2 linked regions of the Oreochromis niloticus genome follow. The main gene of each other region encodes a partner of the protein of the gene in region 2 in a complex. Links are inferred from orthologs where the notes say so. Each region holds a gene or a part of one and is shown on either strand. Other genes may lie near its edges. The genes, in order: vps51 and vps54.

Region 1 (7,705 bases), on a different chromosome or scaffold from region 2:
CTCGCACAATGTAGAGACAACACGCAGGGTTACAGTAACACATGATGTCACACATTAGTTCAAACTCATATGAAAACTATAAAAGGTAGTTTGGGAGCAAAAAACCCCAGAAAATGTTCACCTTGAAGTACGGCTTGTTGGAGAATGTGATGTCCTTAGCTGTAAAGAGATGCACTGACGCCAGCACCGACTTAATCTGATTGAGAATTGAGGCTGACAGGGAGGAGAGCAGCTCTGGTAGGCTGGTTGGAGCGTCTCTGCCAGAGGCTGGCCCAGCCACAGAAGTGCCAGCCACAGAGAGACGAGGAGTTGCCAGAGCCTGCCTCACGTCTGTCAAGCTGTCCATGTAGAAGCTCTGCAGAGCGGAAAGGTACTGCTTGACTCGCTCCGTTGCCGCCCGTATCACAATCTCCGTCCCCTTGTTTGGCACAGCTGAGCCAGGCAGAAGTTTGGCCACAGCCTGGAGTCTGCGGTGGAAGCGGTCCAGCGCACGTACAAGTAGGGAGTTATCCCCGACCCCTTTCTCCTCTTGTATCCTCCGCTCGACAAGCATGAAATATCGAGCAGCCAGATCATCCACAAAGACATGCAGCTTGCCATTTGCCATCTGAGGAATATTTTTGGATGCCAGCTCACCCTTTTGAGCATGGTTGATAAACAGTTCTTGATAGGACGTGATTACCAAACATAAACTGCTCACAAACTCATTGCAGCCTCTGTCGATGAATTCCAGAATGTCAGTGTTTGATGCGGGGGAAGGCAGAGAGCTGTTTTTGGGAGAGCCATCGGCCGGCGATCCGGGGGCTGTTGTAGACGACAACCCATGCACGGAAGCATCTTTTGTGGCTGAGGTGGACGGGTACGGCCTTATCTCTGCTTCCAGGCCCTGAAGATCTGACTCAAGGCGAGACCGCGCGTGGCTCAGGAATTTATCACAGAGCTCTTCTGCTGGCTCATCCAACTGCAACAGAAGCTCCACACACTCTGATAAATCTTTGGCACTTGACCCACCATCCCTATGATCACAAGAAGAAAAGACAGAAGCAGAAATTTAATGAAACGTGTGATTTTTTTTTCCTGAAGTTTGGTCAGTTTTGGCTCACGCATCAGCCTCTTATAAAAGGAAAAGTTTTTGAGTTGGCATCTAAAACTACACTAAAAACTAAAACTAGGTGTGAAAGCACATCCTAGTCAACTTAAATAAAACTACACTATTTAAACTAGACTTTGGAAAAAAAACTTACTGAAACAGTATAAAACAAAACTACCCAAAATAAAACAAAACAAAACAAAGCAAAAATAGTATATATGTATAAAATTTGTCAATAAAACCTCTCTGATGAGGTTGATGTCCATTTGTTTATTGTCTATGAGTCAACTCAATTGCTGTTTTTTTAATTTTTTATTTTAATATCTATGCAGTTGTGTCAAACATGCTGTTTATGCCAATTAAAATTATTTTTGTTATATATTGTAATAACTAGTCATTGTCACCTGAACTTCTGTCGAAGCTCCTGTGCCAGCTTGTCCATGATGGCGTGACAGTCATCCTGAATTCCCTTGAAGGAGGGCAGGTGGCTGTACTGCTGCAGTACGCAGCGAGCACGGCGGTGGGTGTTCACTGCCTGAGCGTAGGCCTGCAGCTCCAAACATTTATTCAACCTTGCAGGGAGTTCAAACAGAAACTGCAGCTTCCTCAACAGAGTGTGAACACCTGGAGTGAGACATGGTAAGACCCCAAAAAATAAATAAAATACAAATCACACAATTAAAAAGTTTCATTCAAATAAACAGTCAGGTTAGGTCTCACCAGAGAGTTTGGTTATCTGCGCATGCTGGTCTTGAAGAGTGCCGCTGATCCGAGCGCTGAACTCTGTGATCGCAGCCATGTTAGCAGACAGACAATCCATTTCATCTTCCATCTTCTTGAAGTCATTCTTCATCTTTCTTATAGTGTCTGGCAGAAGGAAAGAAAAAGGAAGGCTGTTTCAGCTATCCAGGTTTGCACAATTTAATGTCAGCTTACGTTACAGCAGCAGCGTGTGTGTGTGTTTGTGATGTTCCCTTCACCTGTAGCTGATATAAACTTGTTGTAGTTTTCATACACCAGGGTCTGCATGTCGCTGTCCAAAGAGCGGATCTGCCTGACCATACAGGTCTCCTGGTCCATCAGCTCCGTGAGAGAGCACTCCCTCCTGAGCTGGATTTGGATATTTAAAAAAAGAAGTTACTGTACATATGCTTAGTGGTCATTTGTGTCTTCTATATGTAGTGTGATGTAGTATTAGCACTGGTTCATTTCTCACTGTTTGGCAAAGACAGGAGCAGATTTGTGTTTTAAAATTCACAGCCATCTATATCTTTACTTGTAGTGACATTACAACTGGGACAAATGAAGGAAGTACTCTGGTGTTTTCTTCAGTTCATGTAACATCACTGCAATCTGCACTGTGTATAGTATTGTCGATTTCAGCATTTCATGTTCTATTATCTGGCATCAAGCTTACGCTAAAATTCTGAAGCAGTCCAGCTTTGTGAGCCACTGAACGGATTACAATGACAATAGCAGTTTCGCACCTTGTTGAGATAGAGCTCCGGGTCAAAATGAGGCCCATTGATGTCGCAGGGATCCAGGGACTCCGGCTGCTCCGGGGCCTTTCCTTCCTCATTCAGCCCGTAGTACAGCTTCAACATGCCGTGCACTCTCCGCCTCCTTCCCGGGTCCTCAGCCACCGGCACCGAGCCCTCGTCCATAATGAACGGCGGCCAGCTGTGAAACGTTTAAAGTAAAATAACGATAAACAAAGGCGACGACAGACCAGCTGACAGGAGACAAACGACAGCCTCTAGCTGGGAAACGGCAACACAAAGCTCCTGTGTGACCGCTGTGTGTTTAGCCTCGCTGCCAACTGGAAACAACAAAATCATTCAGGATAAATATTCAGAAAATGTCATATTTTCTCTGAGGCAGAAGCAGCTAGGTGGAAGCGGTGTTGTTTCCGGGTTTCTAGCCTATCCGGTGTTACGTCGCCCACCAGTGCACGTAATCTAAACAGCCAATTAGAGCAGTTTCTCTTTGTTGATCTTTTTATTCACTATAGGCTTCAAAATTTATGTATTTTATGTAAGAATGTATGTTTTTGGCAAAGTATAGACAGAGACAAAGCTCATAATTGTTCAGGTAAGTGTTCTAGTTATGCGCACAACTGCGCATGTCCTAATTGGCACGTAACGCCATATTAAAATGCTTAGATTGAAGGAATCTTCCATTTTTGGGGGTTGTAGGGAAAAATTAAATGACACCAAAATGGATTAAATGTGTATGATAATCTGTGATCATAGCAAATCCTACAATGTTGAAATCAAGAAAAACACAAAGAAATGCTCATCCCTTGAGTGATCAGAGGAAAAAAACACTTTTATTATAAGATTTAAAATGTGACAAAAGTCTATATTTTATCATGAACATAAAAATCATAGAGGAATAATAATCTGGGATATAGTTCAGGTATTTGAAAATCATTTGTGAAAGCAGAAAATCAGAGGTTTTAGGTGCATGTTAAATCATTTCCACAGGAGCACTCACCAAGCTTTCTACATATATATCAACTCTTATCATACCTGCCATATATTAAAACATAAACATTTAACAATGAACTTATTTCCCCAAACAATTTGAAATGGATCTAGCTAAGATGGCACCTCAGTTAAGAAATTGTTGGCTCGACTCTAACATTATTCTACAACTGCAAGTGTTTAAGTAAAACAAAATGCCACAGAAATACTGATGAGAAGTTTGCATGACGTTATGTTATTAAATCATATGCAGAATAACATATTGGTTAAAATATGGCTTTAGTACACTTAAGCAGCAGGTAGCAGACTGAGGAAGGAATATTTGATGACAGGTATGTTCAGAAAAACGGGGCCACTTTCCATCATCTCATAATTTTAATGAAGGCCGAGCTGACAACCGAGAGGAATTACAGTACACTGTTCAACATCCGCCATCCAGTTACTCAAATATACTCACATCACATAACATAAAGGAAATACATCATTTTAAACCATAGCAATACCACAACTGTCCATTTTCTGGTTTCAATGCACCAAAACAGTAATTTAGACGCCAACCCAGTAGAAACAAAAAAGGCACTTTAAGCTTCTGTAAAGTGTTTGAGACCTATTTCTTCATTAACATATACAAACACTGGCAAGTACATGAAAACAAACCAAAAGAAAGTAAAAGTGTTCTCTCATAAAAGCTAACAAACAATACAAAACAAATCTCCTGCTGTAAAATGTTTAGAAACAGTGTATTAGTATTAACAAGTGCAGCATCACATGATGTGTAGACTGTCGGAATGCCTATTCTACAACGTGACATGCATAGTGTTTGTTGGCAACAACATACTGAGCTGCTGGCGTTAGTATACAGACAGCAGCTGATACACAAGTTGAAGCATAGAAAAGTAAGGACATTCTGCCGTTTGCATGCTGAGGAAAATCGAGAAGAATAGACCGCATGTGCCGCCACATCTCCAACGAGGGCACGTGTTCAAGTGGAAGGCGCTATTACAGAGATGTGGAGACAGAAACTGCCTCCCTTAGCATTAGTGTGGGGTTCAGAGTGACACCCGGGGGACTCTGCCAAGTGCTGGAGGCTAAAATCTGTCTCTGCAGCGTTAAGGTAGCACACACTTGGTTGCAGCATGTCAGACAGGCTTGCTTTGGTGGAAAGACTTAAGATTTTCAACAGTGTGGCCACAACTTGGTCCTTGTTTTGTGTTCAGAACACACAGTCGCTCTCTAGTGACAACCGGGTCAACAGATTGGTTAGCTTTTGGAGATAAAGTGAAGCAGAAATTGTTTTAATGCTATATAAATCTAATAATCAAGTAATGAAATTCTTTGCATTGGTAAATGAATCGTCGTAAAGCTGAAAACGAGGCCTTTTTCCCCAATGATGTCAACAGTGACCGTGTTTGCAGAAAAACAACACTGTTAGTTTCTTTAATGTCTACACTTTCAATTTATCTTCTGTCATGTCAGAAGTTGCACAAGAACAGTATTGCATCAGTTTTCTTGCTCATCAGGTCCAACAGTCAGGTTAGACTGTGCCGACAGATCGCTTGTACTAATCGTCCATGCTTTGAAATTTAACATTTGAATACAAGCATGGTGCGGCAGTGCTGGATGATCTTTAGATGAATATATTTTTTCCTACACAGGTTCTACAGTTTTATAGCTTTAATTCAATTCTTTTATTAGTGCAAATCCATTTAAACACTTGATACTGTGACCACAGAACTGCAGCTTCTTTAACAAGAAGTTTTAAAACTCACATTTTTAAAGCAGGTCGTCGTGCCACCTCTTTCAAACTAGCTGCAGATATCGCTTAATATTGACTTTGTCAAAAACTCCTGTACTTACAAAAGTCCTCCACAACACAGCCAATGTGCTCCCATAAGGATTGTTTATGGTCAGGATAGCCGGACGCGACACGTTTCTACTTTTTCTGAAGTGGCTTCACCCTTTGTAGAGATCAAGGCACTGGCAGTTTGAAAAAAGCAGAATAGCGGAAATGCACCCTTAGATAGTCCCCTGAAAAATGTTTGTCATGCTGACTGTTGCCGTTTGTGGTATCGCTTAAAGTCTGAGGTGGAGTCACGAAAGCTTTAAATATTCTTAATGCTCAATCCCCGATAAGATGAGTAGAGGTAATGCAGTGGTTATACTCATTTGAGGTGCAACATGTTTGAATAATAGCAGTAAATCCGCTTCCAGAGCGCTGCAGAAAGGTCAAAAACAGTTATTGACTGGAGTCACTGTTTGAGGATTATTATAAGGCTTGTCTCACACTTATTCATCATATGATCTTTACAATAGGCTGTTTAAGGAACACCCACTTCAGTTGAACCTTGGAAGCATAGCTGCTAGATCTTTTTTCACATTACTGTACTCGCTTAATGTACACAACTTCAGAAGATAAATATTGTCACTCACACTTGGATTGCTGTCATTTGGTCCTTTACATGTTCATATATTAGCAGATAAATGTCTCAAGCTCAAAGTACATCTCTCCTTTTTTTTTTGTTTTAAATCTCAGTGTAAAATGTTCAGATTTGGTCTCTGAGAGGATCGGGTCAGATCTGATGGGCGACTTTAACCCTGCTCCAGACTCTCTGTTTGCACTGCAGAGTAGGACACTGCAGACGCCTGTCGGGCGAAGAAAGACGCGGCTCTCTTGGGCTTCAAGCGTTTGATTTCTTTTCCTAAAAAAACAAAAAACAAAAATGAACAAATGCTGAAAAGAAAAAAAATCTCTGATACTGTGAAACGGCACAGAAGGAGCTACCTCCAGAAAGGATAACCCTGCTGTTAAACAAGTTTGGCCCTCACCGTCATCGACGTAGCTGATGGTGTTAAGCGACTGGACTCTGCTGCACACAACGCTGCCTTGCCTGTGCAGCATCCCGCGCCTTCCGCCACGCCCATTCTTGCTCCTTTCTTCCTGTCCGCCGGGCTGCTGTGACAAACTCACCTCGCCGTCCATCTCGGCTGCAGCTGCCCCCTCGGACGCAGACTTAAGCTCCACGCAGAACTCGATGAAGCCGCTCATGAGCTCCGCCTTGTTGGATGGGACAAAAAAAAAATTCAGTGTAAATTCAATGAATAGTTTATATAATCGCCACACGTAAAGTACAAATTCTTTTTTACACTAATTAATTAATAATAAATGAACAGTACTCATTCATACGTGATTATTTTTGAGCTTTTATGTATAACATCTTGACATATGTTTGACTAAGACACTTTTCAATATCAAATAACTAAAGACCCAACATAAAATACTCACAACATATATGAAATGCAAATGCACACTAAAAACGATATAAGGCTAAAAAACACTTTAAACAAAATAAATATGGGTCTTGTGTGGCATCATCCTTTGTGGCACATACTAGATGACCCTCACACAGTCCCCATGACTCGAGAGCCTCCTTGAGGGCTCTGGCTAACATTTCCCCTGCATGGTCGTCAAGAAGACAGCACGTCTGCAAACACTGACTGCAGTGCGTCTGGTCTCGGGTGAAGTGCACTGTGCATACATTTGATGCTGCAGTGTAGCATGCTACATTGTAGATTTCCTCCAATGTTTTGGCCCGACACTCATAATATAAATGAGGCAACTGGACTTGCGTGAAGTGTTTTCGGCTGGACATGTCAAGTGTTTTGACCAATTTAGAAATCCCTGTTTCTCGACATTCTAAGTTAGGACCGTGTCTTTATAGATAAAAGCTGCAATAGCTGCTATTATCTCCTTCCATCTTTGTGAGTCTATTATATGGCGCGCCGAGGGTAAAGGCTGTTCTAACACTTGACTCTGTTGTATTTTGAGCACCTAACGGTTCTTTTTTTGCTTCTCATTTGTGAACCCTCTCCATACTCTTTCATGTGATCCTTGCGTAGGTGCTAGAACAGGTTTGTTGTGTCGGAATCTGTGGTGGGGACTGGTTTGTGGTATAATTTTGCAAAGTATAGTTTTCTGGTTCATATCAGACTTTTTACAACACAACTATGTATATGCTACAGAAGTAGCCCCTTGTTTAGGAACAAGTTCTTTGATTTGTTTTGCAGTAAACAGTGTGTGTGTGACAGCACAAAATAAACGATGGTATAATATGAAACAACAGGCATTTTA
Region 2 (7,511 bases):
GATATTTTGCTGTAGGTGCATGAGCTGTATCAAGTCAGGGACTTTCTGAAGTCTCTTCTCCCCGTCTCCCTCTCTCTGCAGGTTTGTGGTTTCAAAATGATGATTTCTTGAAATTGGCAGCTTTTAGTATCAAGTCTTCCCCTTCTGTTGTACGCCATTCGTGACAGCAACAATACATTAAAAAAAAATTATTGGTGGCTGAATCTAATTAACCTTTGAATTTGAGTGTTTTTAGACCCATTGCCACAGTCTGCCTTTACAAACTTTTGTGAAAGAATGAATCACTCTAACAAGCTCAGAAAATTCAAGTGTGGTACTGCAAGAGGAGGCATCCTAGTCTAAGTCTTCCCTCCTAGATATGATCAACTGTGGGGGTATTGTAGGGGATGTTATTGCAAAGTGGAAGCGTTTAGGAATCACAGCAGCTCAGCCTCAAAGTAGCAGACTGTATAAAGTTATACTGTGATTGCTAAGTGTTGAAGTGCATAATGTGTAAAAGTTGCCAATCTTCTGCTGGCTCAGTAAATGCTGAGTGGCATGGGTTTCAATGGCTGAGCAACTCTTGTATGTGTAATGTGTTGGTGTTCCTTTAGTTTTGCCATAAAGTCTTTTACACATTCATCTAACCAGCAAAAGATCCCAAGTTTGATCATGGGACAAGACACAAACCTCTTAATGGTTGCGTCAGGAAGAACATCCAGTACAAAAAAAATACCTGCTATAGCGACCCCTTGCTGCAGCTGTAGAGTATTGACTGGTGCAGCTTTCAACAGTGCTGCATTAAATCTAAAAAGAGTTCTATCAACCTCCAGTCAGTAAGCTTACATACATCTGCAACGTGTTGAAAGTGCGCTCAGGTGTGCTTAAATTCTTTAAAAGTTGATGCAGACATTTTCTGCAGCATCTGTAGCGCAAAATGCAAGCTGACAAAAAGCTGACCAAGGCGGCAACACCTGATCAAACACAAAATACATCTGAACTTTGACCACATTTCATATTTGATGCTCTGCTGATTCAACTGGAAAAAGTACCTAGCTCCACCTGCCTGAGCCAATAGACTTGTGCTGCTTTTTGGCCGTCTTACAATTGTTATACAAGGAGAAACTACCTATAGGGTCAAAAGGTTTTGTGTACCACCCTGTAAAATGCTTTAACTACTGTAGAAGCAGACATTTTAACATGAGTTACATTACTGTCTTTTGGACCAAAGCTCACATGGCCATGGAAGAACTGCATTTTTAGAATTTTATCTTGGCTCCATTTTACAGCCCTGGTGGTTAACAACTGAAAGAAAACTGCTGGTTAAATGGCAGCTGTAAACCAATGATATGTGGCTGTGCTAACAGTCAGTTGTAATCTGACTGCTCAAACTGTGGAGGTGTATGACCCTCTGCTGTTAATCCCATCACACAAATGAGAGGATTACAGATCTGCGCGCTCCCCATTATTATCAGAACTGTTTTTGGCTCCTTCATATTGGTTTTACATTTTAAAAAATGTTTTCAAAATATTAAGAACCATCTTAACACATAAAACTTCAGACTTGTCACAGATTCAAGCTCTCACAACCATCTTGGATCCTTGGTCCGTCAATTTTCTACCACCCACTGCAACTGCATGGAGCTAAAAATAGGAATGATTGTCCGATTCATCTTTTTGAAGACAGACTGCTTTGAAGGAATGGCAGTAATATGGTTTGCCAGAGATTAAAATAAGTATCATTTGAATTTATTTATGCAGGTACATCAGGTATATAAACTGGCTAGTTCTTCACTATATGACATATAAGACATGTCAAGCAGTAACACTGAATCCCAACCATAAAAGAAAAAAAAAAAACAAGCACGAGCAGCTTATAACACCTTCCTCATTTATTTTCATTTGCCCCTCGTAGACAACCGTTGTAAAATACTCAAAACCAATAAATCCTCAGCAAATTACAGTAAAACAGGAGCATAACTGCACAGAGATGTTCTTGCTAAGATCATAAAAGCTCAGTTATATTTCTATGTTGACATGTTAAGGCCTGAATCAGTAATTTTTCTTTTTTCAAGGAATACTTGTTAAACAAAAAACTGTGCGCCATCATATATTAGGATCTTATTAATTAATCGAGCTTTTAATCCTTATCTCAGTATCAGCAAAAGTGAAAGTACAATACCAAGGGCAGCCGCTGTACTGAACTCGATTCCACTTGTTTCCATCACATTATAGTCTACTCAGCGAGAACTGATTATTTTCAGGCATAAACGTTGCCTTGTAATGTAAATCAGCAACCCTAATATATTCCGGAAATGCCAAGTGCCAAGAAATAAACATGGCCGTAAATTTCCTCACCGAATAACACATCTCGTGATTATTTTTGAGCTGAGAAAAAACAGCTGTCACTTGTACTCATTTAATGTTTGATATTAAAATGTTTATGCTTTCGCCTGTCATCGTTGCTGTGCCTCCCATCGGGACAAGTAGATGTAACAGAAGCTATGCAGCTAGCCTTAGCCTAGCTACAGTGCACGCATTGCCAGCAGGTGTTTGCATTACAACCGTTCATGCTGACAGTGAAGTCAATGCCTAACAGCAACATGAAACACACAAAACTAATTGCAGTTTTGTTGTCAGTGGCTGATGTGGCGCAGAATATTCGCGGCCTTAGCTACATGCTAGAGCTAACGCTACAGCTAATGTTGTCAACGGCAGTTACACGTAGACTGGCCAATGCTAGCAAGTTAGCCGGATACAACTACCCCAAAAGGCGACATAAAAACACCAAAGAAAGCCAGGAATGACAGGGGACCAAGAGGCTTCATTTGGACACCTACCTGTCATGTAAAATAAAGCGGACGGTGTGTCTTTTCTTCATAATCACAGTAGCACTAAAGGAAACGAGGGGAAAACAATAGGACTCACAGCAGTTAATACCGGTATACGGACCATCATGCACTGCCGGAAAGAGGAACGAACATCAACGTCAGGTTCTTTATTTGCCTTATTGCAAGTTTCAGTCTTGAAAGCTCGCTGCTGCCCCCTGCTAACTAAAGCTGAATCGGTCCGTATCAATGTTATTGGTCCATATACAAGAGACAACAAAGTGCGCACTCACCGGCCACTTTTTTTTAGATACAGCTGTTAAACTGTTAAATATAAATATAAATATAGCAGATCTAATATAGCAGCAACTCAGCATTTTGTCATGTAGACATTGTCAAGACGAACTGCTGTTCAAATTGAGTATCAGAACGGGCAACGAAAGGTGATTTAAGTGATTTTGAAGCAGGGTTTAACGAAACTGCAAAACTAGGGTTGCCAACCGTCCCTTGAAAAACGGAATCGTCCCGTATTGAGCTGAAAAGGGACGCACTTTGTCCCGTAATACAGTGAGAATCAAAAGTAGTCTATAACTTTTAATGGAATTAACGCTTTGTTTGAAAACTTAATTCCCAGCCCCTCTCCTGCTTTGTGACCAATGAGCTGACAGCACACTTATGACAATTCAGATTACCTCTCATTGGTCGAGGAAAGGTCGCTTGCGGAGAAAATACCGGAAGGCAACAGATGACCACAACAAGAAGCATGGCCAACAGGGAAACAAACGCTGACACTGCGGTGCAAGTAGTGATGGATAGATGAGGCCTCGTGAAGCGTTTCAGCACATTCCCCAAACTGTATCGATACTGTGTCGACAGTGTTGCTGTTTTGCTCCATACTGACACCTGCTGGACCTTAAATATCATTGCAGGCAACTTACTTGAGACTCGGACACTGATTCAATGACCTAGTTATATTATACTTTTATACTTGTATACACTGTAAGTTATTGTACTTTCCATGGAATCATTTTATATGTTTTACATTGCAAATAGTGTAGACATCTTTAGTCATCTGAGTCAATTTAAATGTAATTGCCTCAGACTTTATTATAAATTTCCTTTCAGAAAAATAAGTTTATCCAATGTTTTTGCATTCAGTCTATTGCGGGGTTTTTTGACACCATTTCCCCAGCTTTGGAAAACTCAGAGGCACAGATGAAGCTGGGGTACACAAAAACTGTAAAGCCAGGTGGAAAAGGTTCTGATAACGTCTTCCTATTCCCCCAGTACGTTAAAGGATCCTCTGATCTTGGAATGTTTCTCTCCACAATACTAAGGGGTTGACAGTCCTTTATAATAAAATTCAGGACTGCCTGGCCCAGAACAGTCTTCCTAGATGCTTGATTTGAAAATAATAAAACACATATTGAAAAAAAAAAAAAAAAAGATGATAAAGCTGTTCAGTGTCAATATAGGCCTACCTGTGTTCATTCTCGGTGTGTTTGTCTCCTCATTTTCATGTTTGTCTCTGTAATGCCTAAACACTGGGGAGGTGCTTTTGTTTGTGTAAGAAAGCTCCACAGAACAGATGCAACATTTAACCTGCACAAAATGAAATAAATAATTTACACTGCAAGTCACATTGCTGGTTTTCCTATTCTGATAGATTACACTGAAACAAAGACAGACGAACTATTTGCAGTTAAAAGTTAAAAATGATCCCACACAGCAGAAACATTTCTTTTTCTTTCGGGCTCCATTTTGTTATGGAGAGATGTGTATTTTTATTTATCTTTGCGAGAGTAATTTTGTGGGGGTCTTTGGTGGCCTCATTCCGTTGGCAGATGCGGTACCTTTTAGACACAGTTTGGCGCGTTGGCAATGAGCGATACAGCAGCTGTATCGATCACGTGACTTTTTCTTAAAGCGACGCATGCACCGATACAGGCTTCGCTAGGTGAGCTTGATACATGCGTCAGTGCGTCAGTGTTGCTGGACCCATCACTAGGTGCAAGTCTCGGACGACAGTACACCTGGGCATACACTGTGCGATTTTTTTCAGTCACGTTATTCAGCTCCTACTCAAACTGCACAATCGACTCGCAGGGGTTATAAGTTCATAGGTCACGATGCAAGGTCTCACAATATACCGGTTGCTCTGATGCGACCTGAGTCCTCACACAGCAATTTAGCAAAGTTGATGGTGGTGGCGTGAGTCTGTGTGAGTGAAAGACAGAGAGGGAGAGCGAGCGACAGATTTTCTGTTATAACCTTCATTTTTATGGACGCACAGTGTGAGCACTCAGGTCGCATCAGAGCATCGGGCGTATAGTGTGAGACCCTGCATCGTGACCTGCGAACTTCTAACCCCTGCGAGTCAATCGTGCAGTTTGAGCTGAAGCTGACTGGAAAAATCGCACAGTGTATGCCCAGCTTAAGCCCAGCATTAGACCAGCAATGTTTGTTCCCCTCAGAGAAAGAAAAAAAAAGGCTGCAAAAGTACTGGGAGGAATGGGAAAAGGAAAACACCTGGCTGGAAAAATGCACGATAACACCTATAAAGCGCACTGCACTGTGTGCCTGCGCACTTTTTCCATAGGCATGCTTCTAATGGTGGGCACATGAAGAACATGAGGGGCGTGAAAGTTCGGGGAACCCTTAACCAATTTTTTGTCCACCAGGCCACGGCAGAAGCAGATATGGTATGTAAACACTGGTTTGTTTTTTTTAAACCCTCTGGTTAAGGTTAATATGGGCATGTGCAGTGAATATCAGCGCTATGTGGCCAGAAGTGTGATAATATAATTTATTTTGTGTAATAAACAACTGCAGGGATAGATGATTACAACAAACAGATGACTAATACATAAAAGTAATACATAGATGAATAATGATGATGAGTTATGATGCGTAATCATGGGAACAAGTGGGTTTACAAACGGCAGCAGCTGATTAGCATTAGAAAAGCTGAAATAATACCTCAACTGAAGCCAATTGCACTAAAAGCACTATATGTGCACTGTTACAAGAATGTTTTTCGTTCTATTGTTTTCTATTAATTTATATAATTTTAAGTTAAGCAGGACAGAGTTCTTTTAAAGAAAGATTTACTTATATTCTCAAAAGTTAAGCATGACAGGCTTCTGTTTAAGAAAGAGACCTGTTTTATTGTGTTAATGTTGTCATTTTGAGCTAAAAATAAATGGCTAAATGATCATTTGTTTCCCATGTGTTCATATCACAAAGAATATACATCTACTTAAATCAAATTCAAGTCAAATGGTTAAAAAAAATAATTTCACACACAAAAAAAAGAGCTACAAAATTCACCACACTGGGAACGGTGAAGACAACTGGGTCGCCCGGTGTTCCAGATCAACTGGCGTTTAGATCAACTGGCGTTGGTCGAACAGATGTGTGGCAGTCTTGTGTTTCAGGAGCTGCTACCGACAAACCAGCAAAAAAAAAACGCCAAATGTGTCATCTGTGACACTTGTGAGGTTATCTCAAACACACTCCGTCAGTCTTGATGCCGTTGAACAACAAAATGTTTAAAAATGTCGCGAGTTTACCTGGTGATATCCTCATGCGCGACGCGATCGCGAAAACAGCAAACAATTAACACCATGCCGGTATTCTTCACAGGACAGCAAGAGTAAACGATCAGGAGACTCTTGTCGTCGTTATCGTCCCCCTCGCACGTTTTATATCTCCGGGTTCAGCGTTTTTGCTTCACAACTAAAGCGTGCAGTTTACTTTGTGTGCACTAACATGGACTCGAGTCAACCAGCGCCACCTCTGGCCAAGTGCCACAGCCTACAGCCAGATCAACTTGTGACACACATCTGCACCACGTTTGAATTCGTTTCATGCACAACACATTTGTACCTTTCAATTGTGTCTGTTTGTGCGTCATGCAAATAAACCTTTGAAAAGAATGAAATGATATCATATATTTATTGTGGCCTACATTTGAAACGCAAGACTGCCACACATCTGTTCGACCAACGCCAGTTGATCTAAACGCCAGTTGATCTGGAACACTGGGCCTGGCCACGAGGTGTCCCTTATTTATTTTTCAGGGAGTTGGCAACCCTATGCAACTGCATCATTTCAATGAAATAACCTACAAGAGTACTGTTATTGAACTTTCCGTCTTCTTATGACCACAGTGTCCCCATCTTTTGATGGCTACTTTCAGCAGGATCTCGCCATGCCGCAAAGCTAAAATAATTTCAAAGTGGTTTACTGAAAACGATATATTTAAACGGTGTCACGGTAGAGCCTATCCCAGCTGTCGAGAGCCAGCTTACAGCCTGGACAGGTCACCAGTCTAACAGGGTTAACGAAGAGAGATAGACAACCTCACAATGTCACCTATGGCCAGTTTAACCTAACCCCACTAACTGCATGTCTTTGGACTGTGGGAGGAAGCCGGAGTACGCGGATAGAACCCACGCAAACACGGGGAGAACATGCATAGCATGATGGTGGAACTGAACTCAGAACCTTCCTGCTGTGATACAACAATGCTAACTAATTTATTTCTCGCTGGTAATGCCCTTATTCATTTTAGGATGCTGGATCTACCCAAGATTCAATTCAATTTTATTTATACAGCGCCAATCACAACAGCAGTCGCCTCAAGGCGCTTTATATTGTAAGGTAGACTTTACAATAATACAACAGAGAAAACCCCACAAT

The links.
Region 1: vps54 (region 2) and vps51 share a complex: the UniProt entries of both Homo sapiens proteins name them as parts of the golgi-associated retrograde protein (GARP) complex. The link is inferred for Oreochromis niloticus from reciprocal best matches to the Homo sapiens genes VPS54 and VPS51.

Annotation. Positions count from the first base shown.
Region 1 is NC_031975.2:9,248,986-9,256,690, forward strand, and holds the start of vps51 (vacuolar protein sorting-associated protein 51 homolog), read right to left. Parts: upstream 3,030-7,705; 5' UTR 2,755-3,029; coding exon 2,578-2,754; intron 2,201-2,577; coding exon 2,071-2,200; intron 1,958-2,070; coding exon 1,811-1,957; intron 1,715-1,810; coding exon 1,495-1,714; intron 1,017-1,494; coding exon 122-1,016; intron 1-121. Other genes in the region: frmd8 (FERM domain-containing protein 8), read right to left, coding at 6,166-6,275, 6,403-6,631. UniProt on the Homo sapiens protein: Acts as a component of the GARP complex that is involved in retrograde transport from early and late endosomes to the trans-Golgi network (TGN).
Region 2 is NC_031971.2:1,113,496-1,121,006, forward strand, and holds the start of vps54 (vacuolar protein sorting-associated protein 54), read right to left. Parts: upstream 3,019-7,511; 5' UTR 2,938-3,018; coding exon 2,908-2,937; exon of another isoform or gene 2,827-2,907; coding exon of another isoform or gene 2,820-2,826; intron 1-2,819. UniProt on the Homo sapiens protein: Acts as a component of the GARP complex that is involved in retrograde transport from early and late endosomes to the trans-Golgi network (TGN).